Arabidopsis thaliana: one gene and its partners. The protein of the gene in region 3 interacts with the protein of the main gene of each other region in a pairwise test. Each region holds a gene or a part of one and is shown on either strand. Other genes may lie near its edges.

The links.
Region 1: the proteins of UBC16 (region 3) and AT2G37150 interact in a two-hybrid assay, tested with the Arabidopsis thaliana proteins (one large-scale study listed by BioGRID).
Region 2: the proteins of UBC16 (region 3) and LUL3 interact in a two-hybrid assay, tested with the Arabidopsis thaliana proteins (one large-scale study listed by BioGRID).

Annotation. Positions count from the first base shown.
Region 1 is NC_003071.7:15,602,895-15,610,021, forward strand, and holds AT2G37150 (RING/U-box superfamily protein), read right to left. Parts: upstream 4,707-7,127; coding exon 4,553-4,706; exon of another isoform or gene 3,315-4,552; coding exon of another isoform or gene 3,272-3,314; exon of another isoform or gene 3,100-3,271; coding exon 2,995-3,099; intron 2,861-2,994; coding exon 2,129-2,860; intron 2,054-2,128; coding exon 1,638-2,053; intron 1,448-1,637; coding exon 1,346-1,447; intron 1,269-1,345; coding exon 1,131-1,268; intron 1,007-1,130; coding exon 854-1,006; 3' UTR 687-853; downstream 1-686. Other genes in the region: AT2G37140 (Terpenoid synthases superfamily protein), read left to right, coding at 1-88, 232-435; AT2G37160 (Transducin/WD40 repeat-like superfamily protein), read left to right, coding at 6,153-6,335, 6,439-6,843, 6,933-7,041.
Region 2 is NC_003076.8:6,376,029-6,381,480, reverse strand, and holds LUL3 (RING/U-box superfamily protein), read right to left. Parts: upstream 3,333-5,452; 5' UTR 3,082-3,332; coding exon 2,564-3,081; intron 2,062-2,563; coding exon 1,563-2,061; intron 1,314-1,562; coding exon 1,194-1,313; 3' UTR 876-1,193; downstream 1-875. Other genes in the region: AT5G19070 (SNARE associated Golgi protein family), read right to left, coding at 4,011-4,213, 4,305-4,335, 4,416-4,508, 4,602-4,718, 4,798-4,884, 5,010-5,108, 5,240-5,294. UniProt on the Arabidopsis thaliana protein: Acts as an E3 ubiquitin-protein ligase, or as part of E3 complex, which accepts ubiquitin from specific E2 ubiquitin-conjugating enzymes and then transfers it to substrates (in vitro).
Region 3 is NC_003070.9:28,311,220-28,315,761, forward strand, and holds UBC16 (ubiquitin-conjugating enzyme 16), read left to right. Parts: upstream 1-2,159; 5' UTR 2,160-2,403; coding exon 2,404-2,433; intron 2,434-2,522; coding exon 2,523-2,626; intron 2,627-2,713; coding exon 2,714-2,816; intron 2,817-3,051; coding exon 3,052-3,115; exon of another isoform or gene 3,116-3,460; coding exon 3,461-3,549; exon of another isoform or gene 3,550-3,645; coding exon 3,646-3,741; 3' UTR 3,742-3,903; downstream 3,904-4,542. Other genes in the region: CKX5 (cytokinin oxidase 5), read right to left, coding at 4,029-4,389. UniProt on the Arabidopsis thaliana protein: Accepts the ubiquitin from the E1 complex and catalyzes its covalent attachment to other proteins.

The DNA of each region.
Region 1 (7,127 bases), on a different chromosome or scaffold from region 3:
TAGATGGGATCCAAATGGCATATACATACTACCAGATTATATGATGAAAACCGTCTTTTCAAGCTTGCTTGGGATGTTTTCGAATAGAGCAAAAAAGAACTATCTTAGCTAGTCTACAAGATGTAATTGATGAGTAATAGTATCTTAGCTAGTACCTCACTAATAACGGTCGACATAAAGAGATTATCATAGACATAACATCTTTTTGTATATATGCTCCTAAACATTAAGCAGTTCAAACTATACTCAAAGGCCAACCTTAGCTATGCAGAGTGGGCACAAGGAGACATCGTGCCTACATTCGATGAGTACTTGGAGATTGGTGGTGTTGAGGTGTCAATGTATGTAACTGTTTCATGCAGTTTTCTTGGGTTGGTACAAACTGCTAGAAGAAAAAGTTATGAGTGGCTTAAATCCAGACGGCCAAGTCAGTGAACGAAGTGTACTTGAAGTCAAGGAAGATAATATCAGGCGATATCTTATCACGGGCCACTAATGCTGGAAAAATGATAGATGTGACCTACAGGACCGGTGAAGAATTCACCCATCCACAAGGAAAATTCAAGGACTATATCATCTCTTTATTTGTCAATCTTATTTCTCTTTGAAGATGAAATACCATATAGTGTGAAGTGTTGTGTAACTATTTGCATCTGTAACAAATCCAGATTTTCCAAAGAGAGCCTTTTCCAATAATTAACATATATATTAACCCTTGAGAAAGATCCTGGACTTTCTTCTATTTACAACTATTAATCACTAAGAAAACTTAATGTTATATTCTGTCACATATTTTTCTTCCTTTCGAAAGACAAATGAATATAACATGCACACATAAAAGATAACCTATAATTTATGATGAGTTCTTAGAAGCATCAGGTAAAGCAGGGGATTTGCAAATAGGGCAAGAGTTCTTCATAGACAACCATTTCTTGATGCACCTCCCATGGTAGTCATGACCACACCCCTTAACTTCCCCTAACTCTTCTTTTTCCTTGTACTCCTCCTATTTGTTTACCAATTACCACATCACCCTTAAGTTAGCCTACTTCTAACTTTATAGACACATAATGTTTCAGACAACTAAATCTTACCAGGTTGTGAAAAAAAAAAAAAAAACTAAATCTTACCAGGCAGATTGCACATTTTCTTTGCTCCTCTGTTTGATATGATGGATAATACATTGTTGCTAACAAGCAACTGGAGATTGCGCTGTCGGATAGACCAGTGTTGACACTCCCAATCCTTTCTCCAAGATCAAGGAGTTCCTGCATATATATGTCAGTACCAAAACTTTTCGTTTTGCCTATGTGAGGCTTCAAAAGATAAGTGTTTGGCTATTAACCTCATAGCTCATGTTATCGATGTCAAGCCTCATGTCTCTGTGGTGATCAAGCATGTTTCTGGATCCGTAGTATTGTGGTTGGCGATCTTCAACCATGAATTCCTATTATTACATACACCCCAAAAAATAACAGATTACAGTTCAGCATGCAGCAGAAAATGATAAGATTGCAAATCTATATCTTAATATTCGATATGCACTGTATCATATCGGCTTGATCTTTATCTTAATACTAAATGTAATTTAGACAGACTTCCACTCTAAATAATGCATCTGTAAGGGAAATATATACCTCAGATGAAAACCGTTCGTGGAGAGCAACTTCATCGAAAGGAGGCTGAAACCTCTCATAGGAACTTCTGCGTCTCCCTGGCCGATCACCGCTACGCCATGAAATGTGTGGTGGTGGCCTTAAATGCCTAGACGGATAAGTCTCAGTGACCAAATGAGACCTGTCTCCAGAAGAAGATGCTACATGTCCCGATCGCGAACCGTGTGAAGAAGATCTATAGGTGGATGTTGACCTATGAGAGAAGCGGCTGCTGCTTGTAGATAGTGTTGAAGTTCCAGGAACCCCGTGGGAAACTGTAGGGTTTCTGTTTCCGGTAAGCTCATGGTGATGATAGCCGGAAGTATTAACAGATAAGCTGTTGACAACACTTCTTGCAGGAAGGAAATTATTTGTCTCTGGACTAAAGCCATTTATATCTGCAAAGTGGGAATTAATGTGATTATTAGAAACAAAGACGATTCAGATATCGAGACAAAGTGAACTTTGCATACCTCTAAGAACTGGGGACAATCTAGCACAGTTCCAGTCTTTATTTCCGTGAGATGTCTGACCAGGAAATTGACCTGAGCCATAATGATCAACACTGTGGTGGTGTGTAGAATGAGAATCAAGGCTCAAGCTTCTTGGCAAATTATTTCTACCTAAGCTGGTCTCTGAATCAAGTGTAGGACGACTCCGGACATTCCTTGAAGAGCTCTCTCCCCTGATCGAGAGATTATTACTTCTGTAAGTTGGGTTCATAAGCCATGGCATGTAATGAGGGTCATGATCATGCGTTATTGATTTTCCCAAGTGCAATTCCGAGGGGAAATGAGTGTCTGCAGGAGTTCTGTCACCGTGATATTGGCTTGAACTACCCATTTCATAGATGGAAGAAGGACATGGTCGTTTTCTCTTTTGTGCTCCTCTCACACTTTCCATAGATTGATGATCAACATAACTAGCATTTGACCATGTCTGGCTGTTGTAGCTTGAAGAAGATGCAAATGTCACATAATTCTCATGTGGAGCAGAGAAAGTTGGAACTGTTGAATTCACGGAAGGATCATGGGACGGCCCCGAAACCCCCGGATTGTAGTGTGGTCTCTCCACACTATGACCTGAGTCAGTATAAGCATTTGGTCCTGGAGAAGAGTTCCAATGAGAAGACACTGGCATTCCTTCATTCAACATGTTTTCTGCTGGATAAACATGTGATCTGTTCTCACTGGTCCCAGATGTTGCTGAGAAAATGTGGGATGGACAATAATTAATCAGAAATATGGAACATATTACCCTAAAACTAAACATGCATCATCAACCAAATTTCAATAAATAAAAAACAGATTAAGGAACTATAGAATGAAGGACTAATTACCTTGACTCGAATATGGATGTTCTGGGTGTGTATGATTCCAGCCTTGATCATGTTCATCATCAAAAAACTGGGATGAACCAAGAAAATGTCTGTGCCCCATTAAACCTGCACAAAAATTTCTCTCACCATTCAAAATCCCAGGAAAACATCCGCAAGCTCAGAAAAAAAAAAAATCTATAATTTCCAACCAACATAGTTTACTTTCAGTCTGATAGCCAAATTTCCCAAGTAAATATATAAGAAATCAGTCCATAGTTTCAAGCTCTAGTACCATTACCTTTGTAACATGTACCTACCATATTATATACCTCAGATCTCATGATATCATAAGCAAACAAGTTTTTGTGGACTTAGGCTCTGTGCTGCAGGAAAGTTCATGATGCTTATACATGAAAAATAAACCTTAATAGTACAGATCTTTTAGTTCATAAGAAAAACTTACATAGAAGAGTTTGTCAATAACAACAGACATACTTCTTTTAAACCAAAAGAAAAGAGAGGCAGAAAACAAGCACGGTTGGGAAACTAAGAAGCCTTTGCATTTAAAGTATCACTAAGGTTCTCGACTCTCCAAACCAGAGCCATCAAAAGTGAAGAGTAATACAAGGAGTTCATCAAATTACACACTTTCAAAAAGTCTATAGAATTTACAGAAAAGTCTATAGGAAACTGATTAGGAAATAGAAGAGGATGAAAGAATAAGGCACGATGGCAAATTATCATATACTGTATCCGCATAAAAGAGCATCAGAGCAAGTTCATGCAAAATAGGTAACACTTGATATCATCTTTTCAGTTTCTATCAATGTACTACTTCTTCGTTTATATTCAAGTAAAGGCCTTGTACATGTATTTCACTAAACTTACAACCATAGATGACATGAGCAAGAAAATTACATGGAAAATCCAATAGCAGGACTTAAGCTTAAAATATTTTTCTGAACCGAAACCCTCAAAAGTGCACCTGCAGGCAAATAATCCTAGAAGGATATAGGTTTAGAAAGTCCTAACCACGAATACACTACACTACCCAAGTGATAAAGCCGTCGTGCTTGATTGATCACTGATTCATCATTTCTGCACACCTTTAAAGTAGACCAACAGGAAGCAATTAGGCCCTTGACTTCACTAATACAATGAGAACACCAAATTCTATTCCTTCTCCTCTGATCCACAAATTGAATACACTACAGTTTCCTTAGATAAACGGATTTAGTCCACAAAAGTACTAGCCTGCAAAGGCTTACTACCTCATTTACTATTTCTGCGCTCTTATTGTCTTCAAACCCACCAGCACACCTTAATAGACTCCTGAATTCGGGCTTGTGTGAAAGGATGCTTTCTTAAAATTAGCATTATGTTTCACATCATTGTGCATCCAAATCAAATGCTTGTACGTGACAGCATGTCACTCTAGAAACCATTATATGATAGATGTAGTTTGTTAGGAAGATTGAAGTTCCCCACTCATGGATACCGTACCTCAAGCATCTTCAACTGACTAAACACACTCTGGTACACATGTGATGGCAGAGACTAGTTATGGTTATTTCCTTACCCCTATGGATCAGAATAACTTCTAGATGACTTGAGTTCAAGTTCGCTTTGCTTTCCCAATCAACCAAGAAGGTCCACAACACAATCCGCAAATCAGAATACATCAAGGATAGGCCAGCCACCAATCCTAATGGGCTAACATGAGGAACTAACATCTGTTTGAAATGTGTTATCAATGCAATTTCTTTAAGAATGATGCCATAATTTCAAAGTTTCTAAAAGTTCTCAAAGAGGAAGATGAATTCTGACCTGAAACTATAGCCGTACTAGTTCTCAAATCTTCCAAACACTTGAATCACTGATTAGGCTTTTCTCCAGTTTCTCAACTACCAGAGGTTCGTGGTGGAGAAAGGTATGATAGAACTAGAAACCACCATTGCCACTAAACCTGCAGCCTGCAGGATACAAACCAGCTAAGCCTAGGTTATGCTAATACACTATATCCCAAACTAGCTTACCCGCATCGCTGAAGTAGCAGCCTGAACAACATTATCAACAGCTAACCAAAACACAAAGCTTACAACATCTCCTCTAATCACCGAGCTGGTCTCTTCTCAGTATCGGAATCTTAAAAAGCTAACAACTACGTGAAAGAGAACAAATTCGAAGTCTGAAATTATCAGAACCGACTCCGGTTAACGGACATGATCGCGATCATACCCGAAGATTGTGGGAAAAGTCACCGATGTAGCAGCAAAACCGGGAATAAACCGGATTAAACCGAAAAAAAGAAACAATCCATCATCACACAATCACAAGAGAAAAAAGGAAACAACGATCGGCTTGTTTATACATACCAACACGAAATAATCAGCTCAACGGCGAAACAACAATAATGATCGGAGAAATGAGAAACATTACCAAAGCGTTCCGGCGATGAGAAAAGAAGACCGATCGGAGAAAAGCAAAGAGACGTATGGATTCGTATAGATGACGCAACCTTTTATGAAAAAGAGGTTTTAGAGAGAGAAATATGTTTTGAAGACAAATTGCTTTCTTTTTTGGTGATGGTTGAGCGATGAAGAGTATCGGTTTATATTTAAGAAAAATCAAATTAAAGCGGTTGAGTTACGACGTTGCCGGGACATTAATCCCTTCTCTGACCAACTTCACCGGCTACCGGTAAAACCCGTTCACTGTCTTATTGTCGACTAAACAATTTATTAATTAACTATGGTTCTTCAGTAATGGGCCTATATTTTTGGACTGTACTTGGGCCTCAGCTGTACGTATCAAAAGGGTTCGAGAAACTCAGAGATTAAAGGGATCTTGACCGTTGATCGAGATGACTTTGATTTTATCCATTAATAGTCAATTTGATTGATGAGTTAAGAGGATGATTAAGAAAGCAATAAAGGAAGCGAATCGGAATCCACATTGTATTAATCTTTTTGATCCAGTAGCCATTGGCGAATCCAGGAGTATTAAAGTTCCATTTTGATTTTGGCGACGATGATGAACAGAGTTTAGAGAAATTTGCATTGAAGAAGAGAAGATTTTTGGATTTTGTGTAGTGGGAGAAGGGTAAACCCTAGCTTGGGAGGGACATGATCGGATGCTCTAAGTAGCTTGTGAATTAGAGAAAGAGCAAGTGAGCAAATATGATGAACACTTCGAATGGGATGATCTCTGGGCCTTCTTCTTCGTCAGCTTCGGCGGCGAATCCTCAGTCTCCGGGAATCAAAACGTATTTCAAGACGCCTGAAGGAAAGTACAAGCTCCACTACGAGAAGACGCATCCCTCTGGGCTTCTTCACTACACTCATGGCAAAACCGTTACTCAGGTGAAGATTTGATTCGTTTTCTTTGGTGTTTATTTTTGAATTGAAAGTTTAATCCAATCTGATTTCTTTGCACTTGTGATTGCTATTACGAAATTGCTATTAGGTTTTGTGTAAGAATATCAAATGCACATTTCATTTTTATGTTTTGAAAGTGGTTTCTGAGAATGGATTTGTGAAATTTTGGTGTCAGGTTACTCTAGCTCACCTTAAGGATAAACCTGCTCCATCGACACCAACTGGGACCTCGTCAAGTTCCACAGCTAGTAGCGGTTTCCGGTCAGCAACAGCAAGGTTATTGGGTGGTGGGAATGGTAACCGTGCGCTTAGTTTTGTTGGAGGTAATGGAGGGGCTAAAAATGTGGGTGCAAGTTCAAGGATTGGGGCCTCATTCGCTGCTTCTAGTTCTAATACCTCAGCTACTAATACAAATTTCGATGGGAAAGGAACTTACTTAGTCTTCAATGTTGGTGATGCTATTTTTATTAGTGACTTGAACTCGCAGGACAAGGTAATCTTACCTCTACTCGTTTTGTTTTCTTAAGATTTGATTTGATCTGCTGGTTGTTTGTCACATTTATGAGAAATTATTTGATTTAGGATCCAGTAAAGTCTATACATATCAGCAATTCAAACCCTATGTGCCATGCATTTCATCCAGATGCTAAGGATGGACATGATCTACTTATTGGGCTGAACTCTGGGGATGGTAATGTTCAACTTTGAGATTAAGTTTGTTACTTATGTTCTTGATGGAACTTTGTCTTGTTGTTTATTCGTTTGGTGAATTATTGT
Region 2 (5,452 bases), on a different chromosome or scaffold from region 3:
CAATCATTTTTCCTAGTGGCTAATTGAATGCAATTGTGGAGTTAGTTAAAACTTAAAACTTCTTTCTGAACCATATATATCCACTGTAATGTCAAATCTAAGAAAAGAAGGTTGGTCTAAAATAGAATATAGGAAATTGAAAAATATATTGATACAGTGACACATACATAGAAATAGGTGATCAATGCCGAGATTCGGTAAGGAATTTTGATTAAACATCATGGTATGACTAGTAAACATTGTCATAGGCAGAAAGGGAAAAGTATCACTTCAAATTCATTATATAGTCCAAAACAAGACAAAGACAATCACACATAGACCCTAGGGGTTTCATAGTTCATAGATATGATACCACATGGAATCATAATGTGTATGGAGAAATAATATTGCTTGTAAAGAGAGTCACTTCACTACTATCAAACAAAGACTTTTTTTTATTCCTCATTTCAAAAGTTTGAGCATTCTGTCAAAAAGAATGAACTCAAGCTTCACTTTTTTTTTAAAACTTTTTTCTTTCTCAGGCTTAACTTCAATAGGAAACATTCTCCATCTCCTACCAGCTTTTCCTTTTATTTGAGCCTTTTTTACAGACAAAAAGCAAAAAGGAGAGAAGAAAAAAAGATTACTTCTTTGAATGTTCTCATCAACTTCAGTTCCCATCTCTCTTTATTTTCTTTTGAATCTTTGTAATTATCAAGGTCCCCATTTTCTCATCTACACAAACTTTTACTTTCTCAAAAAGAAAGAGTTAAAAGAAAGCCAAATTAGGGACACATAGAGCTATCCAAGACTCTTGCAGATTTTTCCTGTCTATTTTTGATATAGAATTGTGGTTACTAGGAGGTTCGGTTTCTAGATTATAAACCCGAAACGTTACGATAAACAACATATGATTGCAAGTTATATTTGAGCAATGCCCAAACCAAAAAGTATTCAGTTACAGAATGAGTGTTTCAAGTAGAAAGATACAAAGAGAAAGTTTCTCAAGAACCATTGGAGCTATATATACATTACTGACTTTTTTTTCTTTGAGTTTCCCAAAACTAAGACCAACAAATATGTGCAAGAGTATGACATGAGAAAACACATTTGTATAAGAAAAAAGGGCAAAAGAATTCGATTTGACGGTTTTCAAAAAGAAGAAGAAGAAAGAATCAAACATGGTGTTTAAGTGAAGGGAAGAAACCTCTTTTTCAGTGTTGTTCATCACTACTTTCCACTTTAATCTTTACAAGCTCATGGATAGGTTGTCTACAAATGGGACATTTGTTTGTCTGAAACCTCAGTTCTTCTGCGCAATCACTGCACAAACACTGCAACAGACAACACAACATGATTTAGTCTTGATGACAATTCAACCAAAAAGTTATGGTCTTGTGAAAGACTTGATGTAGATTTGCTTTAGAGACAATCAACAGCAATATGAAGCAAGTCTAAAATGACAGAATTTGCTTGTTCCATAACTGAAACGCTACCAACGATTTATAGGTTTACCGAGTAAATGAAAAAAATTGCGTTTAGAAGAATTGAAGAAAGCAAAGAGAATTGCTAGAAGTTTGTACCAAATGTCTACAAGGCATGACGGCTGTGTCCTTAGGTTCAGTCAAGCAAATGACACATTCTTTGCCACCAGTATCCTCTAACCCCGATGCAGCAGTACCTTGTGTGATTGAATTATCGATTCCATACAACTCTTGTAGTTCATATCGTTCTCCTTCAATCCATAGAATCTGTTTCATGACTTTCACTTTGAAAGATCCATCATTAGTCTTCTCCAAAACCGCTTGAGTGATCTGCTTATGAACTAATGGTTCCTCTGAAACCGAGCTTGGTGATATTACTGTCTCGGCTGATATTACAAGTGGGTACACCTCTTCTGGTGATGGTTTCGATAGATCATCCAGTGAAAAGAAGCCTAGGTCGATTCCTGTCCCTGGAGCTTGTAGAAACTTCTGCCCGGCACCTTTTTGGAAAGGGACTTTGATTGGTGGGAAAGCTTCTGGTAAATGAGGGACGATTGTGCACTTTGATTCCTCTTCTCCAAAAAATATGATAGTGAAACTGAAAATGAGACAAGTAACATAATGAGACTCCTCGTCAGATAATCTTAATACCTAAACTTGGTATGCAACACAGGAGAGTAATAAGGTTGATTCAGTTGCTAACTAGCTTAGTAGTTCCGAACCATTAAATGAACTACAATAACTCCTAAAATCAATCAGTTATGTAACTGAAGCCTGTATTGTTTGGTTTCTGAACCAATCACATATTCATCACCTAGATCATGTCAAATTTTAACCTTTTTCATCCCAAATTGTGGCAACACATAATTCAGAACTGAAACATGAGTAAAGATGTTTCCTTTTAATCAATCTCGTCCCAGCAAAAACCCTAACTTTCACTGAATAAATGAGTCATATCATGTAAAGTTTGAACCTTTACGATCCAAATTTGAGATTCAGTATAATCTACAAGACCCCTCTACGCTAATTAGCCAATCTCATTCAAATTCTGGTTCTAAAGTCGGAAACTTGACTCAAATTTTGGAGTGAAGAAGTTATACCTGCCATCGAATAAGGCATCGAAGACGAAGGAAACAAGATAATGACCAGGGTTAAGATCGTCAGCTACGAGCCTCACCGTAGCTTTATTCACATTGACATCGTTCTTAACCTTCTTAGCGGTCTGATGCTCCACATAAGGTGCAGGCGGTTCCATAACCGCAACCGGAGTCGGACCGAAATAAACCGGCCTCATCATCGGATTAAACCCATTGTGATGATAACCGGTGAAATACGGAGGAGCTTGTTGCGGGTAGTATTGGTTTTGATGGTAGTTTTGACCGTACGGTCGGTAACTAATCTGCGACGGAGGAGGCTGAGAAGAAGACGGTGGCTGAGCCGGTGGTGGAGGAAGAGAGAGCTGTGGAGTTGAAACGGGGTAATTGTGAGAGTAGCTATACCCGTTTTGAGGCGGCGGTTGTTGTGGTGGAGGATCGGAGTAATAGTACGGCGGATTGTGGTGGGGATGGTGGTGGTTGTTGTTGTTGTCTCGTCGACGCTTGCTTAAGGAGATCCCCATAGCCTCTGAAGAAACGAGACAAGAGAGACAGAGAGACGAAAGTCAGATCAAAAGATTTGTCTTCCGGTGAAGATTATTATTTACATTATTTTTACTTTACGCAGTTACTGCCAGATTTACTGCAATTTTTGTAATAAAAGTCAACGCGTGTAACTTTTTTTTTAATCGGATGTTCCCGAAGACATGACCGTCTAACGAAAGAGACAAGACCGTTTCTTCTTGTTCAAATCTAGAAAACACACATACATGACGTTTTTCGAATAGCATTATTGATAGAGAAAAACTATGAAAAATCAACTAATACCTTATGAATTTCAAACGTGGTGTTTTATAGTTGACCACATATATCAACAAGTTCTTAACTTTGAATATTATGTTAGTAAATTATATTCAGATCATTTATAAAAGTTTACAAGTTTTCATCTTAATTTTGGTTTTCTTCCAATTATGTTATTAAGATGAGATTTTAAATAGTCCAAAATAGTTGAGCCAATATCATAAAAGCTAATTTTGGTTATGAATATACCCATATATTCAATTGATGGGTTCAATTTATGCATAACAGATTCTGTGTATAATAAATATACCTTTAGTCGTATTCAACAATCTTCATTGAATATTGGTTTAGGAGATTTTTAAGATACCTGTAACATTTTTAGGTCATAGATATGTTTAGAATGCTTGTGAATGTCAACAAAATATCTGATTAGCTGGAGCAATTAGAAACTCAAACCAAAATCCATTTAGTTTCTTTTTATTCATCCAATATTTTAAATCTCTGTGAACTAATAATTACATCTCAAAGTTACTAAGAAAAATAACTTTTTAAAAATAATTTTTAATCTATGTTATTATTATACAAACCAAGAAAACTAAGCTTTGTATGTTAAAATAAAGATTATACAAAGTAAGTATTCATCATCTTAATTTTAATGACTATGGTTTACTTGGTCTTGAGGTTGTTGTGCATCTATCTTTATCAAGAGAGGCTCATTTAAATCCGTCGAAGCATCATCAGTAACGGTCAGCTCCGGCAAGGCTGCAACCGCTTCGTTCATGTCTCCTCCGTGCTCTGCTAAAGCTTTTCTTAGAGCGTCCTTCGCCACCTTTGTAACACACACCATTAATATCACTGCAAAGAAACAGATAGAAGAAGGAACTTGTAACATTAGTGATTCTGCCGCAATCGAAGGAACTAGTAACATTAGTTATGCCGAACTAACCGGATATTACAAGGCTCGAAATCAAGAACGCCTGCAGATTGCGGAAAACAGGTCAGAATAGAGATTGAAACAAGAAGCTGAGAATGTAATTAAAATTTGTGTAGATCTTACCCAGCGACCTGGCGAGAACTCGCTCCACTTGTGAGTTACATCAGAAAGGTCTTTTAGAGTTGTTCCAACATACACTAACGCAAGTGTTATTGGCTGCAAATTAACAATGTATCAAGCTGTATTATTTCCATCTTACAATTTAAACATTTTGCAGTCGTTATGAAGTGGTGGATTAGAATAGATTACCATCATCCCTAACCACGAAGAAAGCAAGTATGGACCTAGCCGAATTGGCGTGACAGATAAGAGGTAGTTCAACATGCTGAACGGAAGAAGAGGAGCAAGCCGGAGCAACAAGCATATCTATATTCAGTTTTGCATATTCATAAGTTTCAAAAGAAGAGTGTCAGCACAAAACTTGTAATGGGTTCTCAGTGCAAACCTTGAAGCCGGATTTCTCTATCGCGAGTGCCACTGATTGAAACTGAGGATAATCCTTTAATTTTGCAACTACAAAAGGTTTTCCAATCTGCATAAGAGCATTTTCATGTAAGTACCAAAATATCAAAAAAGGATAGCGTCAGTGGTTTATGCATGTCACTTCATTAATCTAATGGTTGTGTCTGCAAATCAATAAGAATTTGAGTGGCTTACCGTACGGCCTAGTAGAAATGCAGCTCCTGAGCCAAGTGTAGCACCGACTGAGTCCGCCACAAAACCAATTGGCAGCCCAAAAAGGTAGCCACCACCGAGCTGAATATATCACAGCTTCAACCAAATAAGATTTCTCAATTTTATAGATAAACCAGTCACTCTAACAAAGAAAGTTGAGAGTGGATGATAGCGGTAAATATATCACACACAAAAGAAATATGTATATATACCGTGAGAACCGAGGCAGGAACAGCCAAAACTGTTAGAGGAATGTACGCAACAGCTCTGCAGACATCGCAAAAAAAAAAGAGAAGTTCAGTACCAAGGTAATCTCATGTTCCTATATCTATGGATTAACATTAGCAATGAAACAGTGATTCAGCTACCACCGTTAGTGTAGCTCATTGCTATATTACTCACGCAAGAATCTAACTAGCTCCATA
Region 3 (4,542 bases):
AGTACTTCTCACCATTTTTATTATATTATATAAAAAAAAAACAACCTATGAAAACTATTAGCTAATCCACTATACAATTATTTAATCATATTTTAACTTAAAATTACAAAAATTAGGGAAAAATATCTAAGAGTATGAGAAAATCAATTAAATAATTTAATTTAAGAAAAAGACATACAAAATAAAAGAAAATTATTATTTATATAATTAATTATTTAACATTTTATAATATATACAATTAAATAATAAATTACTATAAACCATTAACTTACATTAATTATTAAGTGGACATGTGGCAAATTAAAAGCTAAGTGATGATGTGTCATTCATATAAGAGAGTTTGCCAATTTTCATATATATGATTACACCACATATAGATAATATATAAACTTATGATCTTTATATATACAATATTTATAAAATTACCTACATTTTTGTTATTATTAGTTAATTTGTTATTCTAGATGAAAACTCATCCTACGCATGGGTTTTTGTTTTTAAAATTGTCGGAATATATGATTATGATCTTTTGTTGATTTTGATGTTCATTTTTGTGTGTGTGTTAATGTGTAAGTAATAAAGTCATATCTATTTTATAGAATTATAATTTTTTATAATTAAATTTATCTATAATTCGAAATATCAATTTTACTATAATATAAATATTTATAGACCTATTCTTCAAATATTTCACTATCATAAATACATACAACAAAATTATATGATATATTAATATATAGTTATATTACTTATGTATTTTAAAACTTGCCTAATTTAATTGTAACAAACAATTCTTTATTCCATATATTCTCTCGTTATCTAGTACACTAACCACACCATGATATGCTAGTAATTCAAGTCAACACTTTAATTCTCGTCCCTTGAATATAGCCATATAGAGTCTCGTATTTTTTGTGTGGATATGTCTAATGTCTCGGATGAACATTACGTGAAAAATGTATATCAGTGTTACCAAGTTATCAGAATGCACAAAAAGAAACAGAAAGAAGGTCATATGATAAATCATATTCATATAACGTAATAATAAAAAAATATCCAACTAAAATTACTATTTAATATGAGGTTAGGTAGCAAACATTTAAACTACAACACAAAGTAGATTTTAGCTATTATAAATTGATAACTATTGATAAAAATATTTTTAAAAATAAGTAGAATAAAATGAAAGTAGTATTTGATATATTATTATAATTTTTTATTTATTGAATGTTTTAAGAAAATTTATTTAAAAGAGAGATTATAGAGAATTTAATGCAACAAAAGACTTTTGATTTTTCCTCAATTAATTCTATTAATTTTTTTTAATTAATATAGAATGACACATGTTATTTTCTTATGTGATGATGTGTCACTCCTAGGGAGAGAGTTGGCCAACTTTTATATATATGATTTTCATGATTGCTATTATTTATTGGAATTTCAGAGATTTTTGTCTGCTACTGAACTCAGAATAATAAAGGCAAAGGAGCATGAAAACTTTAAAGAGTATTATGTGTATATATTCGTTGATAGTAGCTGCTAATTAGGACAACTCGTAGATGTTGAAAAGACACTGCAAAGATCTTGAGGACATTGCTTTGGCTTTTTTAGTCTTACATATCAACTTGCTATAACACATCCAATGGGCCTTCGAGTCTTCGACTTTTGACCTATCCGTAGCTTCTATTTATTTTATTCAACTAGTACTACATATAATTTTTGATCGTTTATTATGTAGTCAACAAATAGTTTTCATAAAATGAGAAAAAAAAGCAGAAAGATATAGTTTTCATTACCATAATTTATAGAATTCTGTAACCAAAATTTCTAGACTTAAGTCCATAACTTCCTCGAATTAGGCACAACACAAGAACAAGTTAATTTAGTTCTTTTTCTTTCCATGCTTGAGTTTGGTATTTTTCGACTATCTTTCTGTCGGATGAACTATCGAAAAACCTTATTTTTTTAATGTTCTGTTGTTACCGAATATATAAATCATTTTGTGATAAGATTTTTATATAAATAATTTGGGTTAGTGGTTGGTTGATTCATAATTAGTTAAGCCGAAAATGAAAATGGTAACACACAAAATATTGAAAGTTACAATTATACCCCTGGACCGTTTCACGCAGCAAAATCCAGCAATCCTGGCTGCTTCCCTGACACAAATACACGAAAGTACGAAACGGTCGTGGATCTAAAAAGCACAAAACAGTACACGTGGCATGATCTTTACCGTCCCTAGATACCACCTTCCAATCTGAATATCATCTGATCATTAAGATCTCATCAATCTGAAAGGTCCCACAAATCTGAACCCTTCGATTTTCGATTCTTCCTCGAGCCTTCCTTCCTTCCTTCTTCTTCTCCAAGAGGATTTTGATTGTCTCCTTTACTCTCTCCATGTCAAGTTCTGGTGCTCCTTCACGCAAGGTTCTCTCTCTCACTTGCTCTGTTTATTTAACTTTGGTTTTGGAATTAGGGTTTTTGACTATATTTTGGGAAACTGTGTGTGTATGTAGACTCTGAGTAAGATCGCGACTAATCGTCTTCAGAAAGAGCTTGTGGAATGGCAGATGAATCCACCTACTGGTTTCAAACACAAAGTCACTGATAATCTCCAAAGGTAAATTATGAATTAGGTTTACTTTATTCTTGTTGAGAATCATATAAGATTTAGAAATTTTGTGATGTCAAATTCAATGGTTTGCAGATGGATAATTGAAGTTATTGGAGCTCCAGGAACTCTATATGCCAACGATACTTATCAGCTTCAAGTTGATTTTCCAGAACATTATCCTATGGAATCGCCACAAGTGAGTGTTCTGAATTCTGAAATTGTAACCTGAGTACTTAATTTAGATCAATCATAGAATCTCTGATCTTTATCAAGTTTGGTCTCTGTTTTATTGTTGATTGTCTTGATCTTTACCGAGTTTGGTCTCTGCCTTGTCATGGAATGTTTTGATCTGTCTCGAGTTGACTTGAGTTCTCTGTTCTTTACTTCTTGTTTGCGTTTGTAATGTTTTTTTTTTTTTAAATATTGTACAGGTGATTTTTCTTCATCCAGCTCCTCTGCATCCTCACATTTACAGCAATGGGCATATTTGTCTAGGTATGTCACTGTGTCCTCTGTTTTCTGATACCTTCTTACTCTTTTGTTGGTTATTATCTATCACTTTCTTTACTTGCTGGTCATACTATGTGGTCCGAATGATAAACACACAACTCCTATATTGTATGATCTCTAATATATTAATAATCACAATGTGAGAGGTAACATAAGTCGTTTGTATACCTAAACTCATTTGAAGTCTTACCCGAAGATAAGACCCTCTTCGAAACTCATATTGCTTGAGATTTTGCTTTTAGATCCAAGGGTACACTCAAATTTCAGTAGCTTATTATTTAACATAGGCCTCCTGGAAGAAGTATCTGATGTTGTGTATCATCGTTGCAGATATTTTGTATGATTCGTGGTCTCCAGCCATGACGGTGAGTTCTATCTGCATTAGCATCCTCTCCATGCTCTCAAGCTCGACTGAAAAGGTACTTACAGCTCTTACACTCACCATTAATATATAAACTTTGATCTCTTTGTTGCTGAAGCTGAACCTTCGTCTCGCTTGGCTTGTTTTGTTGCAGCAACGACCAACCGATAATGACCGATATGTGAAGAATTGTAAGAACGGAAGATCTCCAAAGGAGACCCGATGGTGGTTCCACGACGATAAAGTATAAACCTCGATCAACCAAAAAAAATGTAAAATAGTCCAAAACAGTCTTTGAGGTTTGTTGTCTATTTTTAATTTAATTGGGTTTAAGCTGTCCCAAACCCATTTCCAAAATCCGTGATGTATAAAAACAACACAATAAATTTGACTAATTTTGAATCTTCTACTCTAATTTTAAAACCCCTACTAACAAAAGACCCAACCTAATCTCTCTGATGCTTCTCTATTAGGTCATATATATACATCAGGAAGAATATTTCTCAACTACTACTTTCCTCTTGGTTTTGTCCTGTGTCACCATGAAGCCGCTGACGAAGAAGACGACGACGGAGGAAACAAAGACAAAGATGGGTTTTGAAAGATTCTCTGACCAGTAGCGAGTATGTGTCGCGGATCAAACTCAGCCTTTAAGCTTCTGAACCGATCCCACTTGTCCCCAAAATGAGCCACCCACTCTTCCTGTGTTGCGTGGTGAGGAAGATACTGCTTCACATTGATCTTGGCTTGTTCACAGAACTCCAAGATCCGACGGTTCTGATCTTTCAGATACTCTAGCTTCTGTGTCTCTTCACCGTCCGTTAAAGCTGATCTCAATAGAGCCACCAGATAGAAAACTTCCTCATCCGGCGTCACGGCTGAGCTCCTCTCGTCCCATCTGACAATAACATCAAATTACGACACGTCAGCAACGACAATATCTATATTAATGTAATAATCAATGATGTGCGGAGGGTTCGTTGAGATCGGTTTGGTCTAGGAGAATCTGATTGGGACCCACCCACCATGAGTTCTAGGAACTTAAAAACAA